Linked DNA regions of Kluyveromyces lactis. The protein of the gene in region 2 binds, or shares a complex with, the protein of the main gene of each other region. Links are inferred from orthologs where the notes say so. Each region holds a gene or a part of one and is shown on either strand. Other genes may lie near its edges.

The links.
Region 1: the proteins of ATG8 (region 2) and ATG32 are in contact, whole or in part, in a crystal structure (PDB 3VXW), measured with the Saccharomyces cerevisiae proteins. The link is inferred for Kluyveromyces lactis from reciprocal best matches to the Saccharomyces cerevisiae genes ATG8 and ATG32. Residues at the interface, in NP_009475.1 of Saccharomyces cerevisiae: Glu17, Ile21, Arg28, Pro30, Val31, Lys46, Lys48, Tyr49, Leu50, Val51, Pro52, Leu55, Phe60, Val63, Arg67, Phe104; in NP_012120.1 of Saccharomyces cerevisiae: Ser85, Trp86, Gln87, Ala88, Ile89, Gln90.

What each region holds. Positions count from the first base shown.
Region 1 is NC_006037.1:63,831-67,257, forward strand, and holds ATG32 (mitophagy protein ATG32), read right to left. Parts: upstream 2,142-3,427; coding exon 567-2,141; downstream 1-566. Other genes in the region: SLN1 (histidine kinase), read right to left, coding at 1-15. UniProt on the Saccharomyces cerevisiae protein: Mitophagy-specific receptor that recruits the autophagic machinery to mitochondria and regulates selective degradation of mitochondria.
Region 2 is NC_006041.1:1,828,113-1,830,598, forward strand, and holds ATG8 (ubiquitin-like protein ATG8), read left to right. Parts: upstream 1-1,584; coding exon 1,585-1,959; downstream 1,960-2,486. Other genes in the region: isoleucine--tRNA ligase ILS1, read left to right, coding at 1-145; RTT105 (Rtt105p), read left to right, coding at 515-1,078.

The sequences.
Region 1 (3,427 bases), on a different chromosome or scaffold from region 2:
TAAGCCTGCCAACATCGTGAATTATTATCGTCCGATAGTTAGCATACGAGGTTGAAGTCTGGAATACAGGTTAGGTTGGTATTAATGACAGACAATTTACAATCCCCTCATGACGTCTCCTATCAAGAACCAATGAACTTCTTAAACTTTGATCTTTGTTTTCTTTTAATTCATCTAAGTTTTTCATTTTGTGAATGAGGATCTTTTACTAACATAAAGTAAGGGTTTAAACCTTGAAAAATGTCACAAGCCTGTACAGTAAACAAAAATAAAATACACAACTTATCAAAAAGTATCCTGTCTAAAGTGACATAGATTGTGATAGCCTATATGAACTGGGATACTTAGTTGAGACAAATCACTAAATGAGAAACCTTGGGAATAAAAACAGATTGAAATAAAGTCTCAGAATTGAATATTGTGCTATTGACATTTAGGGACTAAAATTGTATATTGAAGGCTCAATCTGAAAACAAAAGTTGGGCAACAATTCATACTTTTGAAAAAAACAACATCTAGTTACATCACTACATACACCAAATTGCAGCATATAAACGTACCCCGGTTCAAAACATCACTAAATCCAAAGCAGTGACTTTTGAAATGGTACTCTGCGAGTCAGGTTGCATGAATTCTTTACCAATGGATTGAATCCAAGCAGACGTCATTAAATGAGCCGAAAGAAACTGCTTTAATAATTCATTGATCTGGATAGCAGTATCCTTAACTAATTTGCACACTTGACCCAAGAAATCAGAAATTGACTGCGGAGAGCTTTCCTCAAGTATTGACGGTGAATTTCCTTCTATAGCGTCAACAATAGCATCGATCTCCTTATCTGCTGTCTGAATAACCCCAACTGATGAATTATACGAGGAAGTCTCGAACTTGCTGAAATAAAAGGTGACGCAACACCCAATCCCAACGCCAAGCGCTATAGATATTGGCCAAAACCACCATCTTTTTGCAAGATGAGGGGCCGGCTTCTTTTTTGCACCTTTTCTTGGTTTAGTTTTTTTAGGTATATCCGTCTCATAGTCAGAATCTACTTCAACGTATAGAGAGTGCAAATGCCGCAACAACCCGTGTATCTCGTAATGATCGGATATTACCACAGGGTACGACATCAATTTTATTTTGTTAGAGTTAGCAAATGTTTTGACCTTTTCCGTGACGCTTTGCTTCTGACCCTTTTGACATATTGGAATCAAAGTGAAATCTCCGTATTTCTTCCACATTCTATTTAGGATTGTAGTCACTTTCTTTGAATCTGAAAAGATTATCATGAAAGCAGTATATTTCAATGCTTCCTCTTTTGAAGCTTCGTTGAGTTTTCCGACGTCAAACATTAGTCGGTGATACCGAGATAGACGGTTATAGAAAGAGTTAGCTGAGTCTCCATCGCTCAAAATTAAAATCTTGAATCTTTTCATAGACTCCGATAAGGACAATTTCGGCATAACAAAAAAGCTGCCCGCCCAAGAATGGCCCAAATTGACCATTATCGTCTCATCTTCGCCAGTGCCAGCACCTAGTTCTGCTTTTGAAAATTGACCAGTTTTAGTCGATTTAACTGGATCACCGTCAGAAAACTGATGGACTGTAGTTTCACTATTTCCCTGATCACCAAAACCTGTTGATGATAAAGGATAGGCTAGAAATTGGTTGTGCTGCTGAGAAGCACTCAAATTAGGCGAAGGAGCAGCATTAATTTCAACCTCTTCTTCAGAAGTGTCAGATGATAACACCCCGCCAAATTGTTGATTGAAGTCGCCATTTGAGGTATTATGATAGTTATTATGATTTCCAGCATTTAAAAAAGAATATTCATCCCGATCAATGGCCTGCCATGAATCTGTGAGTCCTTTACTATGAGTGTGAGTATTAATATCATTATGATCAATATTGTTACTTTTACCCTTCCTATCGATTAAATCTTGATTTTGGATCAGCCTGGAATCGAATGCACAGCTTTGCTGTCCGTTCAATAAATCCATAACTGAGTCATGTGGATCGAGAATACTGTGTCGCTGAGCACTACTGGCACTAACACCGCTGCCGCTGCTTCCAGCATCTAGTGAATATAACTGACGATTATTGTTACCAGGAGGTGCACCCCAGACCCCTTTAGACCCAGACATCTGTTAACAGAAAAAAATAGTAAAATATTCAACTGACCCTTTGTAGTGACAATACGACAAACACTAGCAAACCCCTTTATAAATGAGTTCTTAGCTCACTCTAAGACTTCGCGAAAAGGAGAAGAATAGAGTCCGAATAAAAATCAAAGATTATCAGTTAATCAGAGACAAGAGTTATGGCTGTGAACTATACCTCTTCAAAAGACCCAAATAGAGTAATCAAGGAGGAATAAACCCTTAAGAGCTTTGTAATATTAATAAATCAATATCAGCGTACCTTTAAGTAATGTAACAAAAAGAAATTTGAATACAAATCAGAGGGACAAAAGACTGGTTTAAGGTACAACAAACACAGACACGTTTAGAGGATCAATCAACAGATCTATAAAAATAAAAGTAGCTTCTCCAACTTTAGTTCAGCCACTCAACGTCAGAGCTTAGTAGGAAAAAAATCAAAAAAAAAATGCAGATTCTGATATGTGTTTTCTTCAGTGTGACAAACACTACACGACTCTTCTTTTGTGAATCTATGTGGTATTGAGTCACGGGCTGATGCTTGGCACTTGAAACTTAAAACTTGACACCTATAATAATGAAATAGTACCAAGCGGAGAAAAATACTAAAAAGTCTCCACTCAACAACTAATATAGAAAGCCTTATCCCTTCAGTTTACGCTATGGTGAGCTTTAGTTGATCGAACAAACGGTAAAATAGTTAAAAAAGATAACCACAAAGTGTGTGAAGAACGACTTTTCAACGGACGATCTTAAACCTTTTTTTTTTAATATATCCACTCTTGGCGATAATATATAATAAAATGCAAGTGAATGTTGCCTGATGTATATATATATATATTGTGACTATGCTAGAGACACTGTTGTAGATTACAAATCGGAGCAGCACACTGATATCGGTGCAAGCAACATTTTAAGATGACTTTGACTGAGGTTTTAAGAAAACCTTAAATGTATTGCAAGAATTTCAGTGGTCGCACACTTCTTCTATGAACAAGGGAGGCTAGTGAAGATTACCTGAGGAGAGACAATATTTTCCGGTCATTGTGTATTCACTATATAGAACATGAGTGCACTGACTAGCGGTTCATTAGGTTACGAAAAAAAACAAGCAGATTTAATTAGCTCTATTTGGGTCTTGCCACACCCGTTTTGACCGGGTTTACCCTATTGGCGCCCCTGCTTCCGTTATCTTTTCAGCTCTCATCCAGGAGCAGCAATCAGCGTTTAAGGTTTCCTGATCTTTTCTTTTGAAAGGGGAGGGAATCTGT
Region 2 (2,486 bases):
TATCGTCAAAGATCATCATGACATGTTGACTAAGACATGTAGGTCTGAAATCCTGAAGGCTGAAGGATCAGAAACCAATCCACTTGCTGATGAAGAACTATCTATCAACGATACCATCTTCAAGTTGAAGATTTTCAAATTATAGATGTTGAAATGTATATAAAGTGGGAAAAAATGTATAGCAGTTACGTTTCTCTAGTGAAACGAAACCCGTCCGTACTACTTATAAATTCACCACATTTAATTAATTTAATTGCAATTATTGGCTCCGTAGATCACCTCTGCTGATTCTCTAGCAACAGTCGATCTCATATCTTATTTCGAATATAATGTGTATATGTAATTCTAAGGCGTTTTCAGTTTATGAAGTTAATCGAACAAAAAACCATATCTCTAGACCAGCATCATTAAACGCCAAAAGGATTAAGGTTATTTCTATGTACGCTGGGGAAAGAAGCCTGGAGCAGGCCGTCCGGTGTATTGCAGACGTTAATCCACAACTTTGAAGCTCTACATGAACTGTATACCGAGCAGTCCGGTTCATGGCAGATATCACGAAGAAGATAGCGATTCCGATCTTGACAATGTCCAAAGTAACGATGGAAGAGCCGATTCTAATATCACTGATGAAATATTGGAAGAGCGAAAGCTCAAATATCAAAGGTACAAGCAACCGTTATCATCATCGTCCCCCATTAGAGACCTTATGAGAGAAAGAAGGAAGGGCAGACTACGGGAACTGGCAAGAGAGAAGAAGATCAATAGCTACAGAAACGACATGGAACAATTCGTCATGGAACAAGAATACCTACGACACTTGCAAGACATGCAACAAGAAGCACAGAAACACGAGATACCGCCAGATGAGATTGATAGACTGGTAGAAGATGAAGGAGAGGTCGTGAATAGTGCCGATGAACCCGCTATGTTGAATAATATTTCCACAAAGAGGGAGCCAAAACAGCTAAATGAGGATGAAGAGCTGATACGGCTGATAGAACTGCAGGAAGAGTACGAATCCTTGATGGAGCAAGAACAACAGGAGCTCGAGGAAACCTTATCTGGCTTTAGCATATAGAGCAGCAGCTTCCACACATATATACGTACATAGTATTGTTACCCGGATATCACGTGATTCATTTTCTGTCTTTCCCACGTGACTTAAGGGTCAACGGCATCTCAAACCGTTTAAGGGGGGAACACTTTTGTTTTGTCATTTTCCAAACAGCAGAAAGGGTATAAAAAGGGAACACACGCGAAGATCAAAGCGGCGCATATCATCGATAACTAAACAAAGAGCGTTTTTCTTAGCTACCCAGTAATCTGTTTGAGTTTTGCAAGAAAAGTGCAGTACAGTGCTATTACGTGCAAGTTTTTTTCTTGAGAGAGAGAAAGAACCAGAAAGACGGATAAAAAGAGACACAACACGATTCAAGAGTTGGAACAAATCAGCTAGACTTTTGAAAGTTAAGTTACAAACATCTTTTCGGGTTATTAGTTTGAAATAGAGACAGGAGAATATTTCAAGAGAGTTTGATTATTTTTATCGGTGTTACGTATTATAGGAGAGAGTTTTAAAACGCAATGAAATCTGCATTCAAATCTGAGTTCCCATTTGAAAAGAGAAAGGCTGAATCTGAAAGGATAGTGCAAAAGTTCCATAACCGTATTCCAGTGATCTGTGAAAGAGGTGGCAAATCGGATATTCCAGACATTGATAAACGCAAATATTTGGTGCCAGGAGATTTGACTGTTGGCCAATTTGTTTATGTAATTAGAAAGAGAATCAAGCTACCTGCTGAAAAGGCTATTTTCATCTTTGTCAATGATACTTTACCTCCAACAGCAGCTTTAATGTCTTCTATTTACCAACAACACAAGGATAAGGACGGGTTCCTTTATGTATCCTATTCGAGTGAAAACACTTTTGGTGACGATGCCCTGTTTTCTGAGGAATGAGATTAAGTTAAACTTTCTTCCCTTTAAGTTTTCTTTTATGATTCCATTAGGTTGTTCTGCTTGATGCAAAACAAGTAACTAATGCACAATTTTGAACCAGATATTGTTGAAAAGATGATCTAAAAGAAAGAACCTGAATAACAATATTGAAGTGATGATAAGATGAAATGCATTGTCGAATGTCTACGATGCTATTATTTTCTATTCTTCCACACCTTTTGCTCTAGATATATACCGAAGCAGTATTTGAAATCTTTCTGATATGTTTTCCCTTCTATTTATCCTATTCTCATATTTCTAGCTGCAACAGTTCCCTAGATCTGGACAAAGCGTTGCTTATAATACCTGCTGATGAAGTCATATGTTGCCGTTCCATAATGAAATCTCTAGGCTTTTTTTTTTCACTTCGAAAGAGGTTCTTCATAAATATACAATTTTATATACCTCTTCAGCAGATTGCAGGTCGAAATTCGGTTTAATATATTCTTTCCATAACCAAAGACTTATCGCAACATCATAAGAAAGCA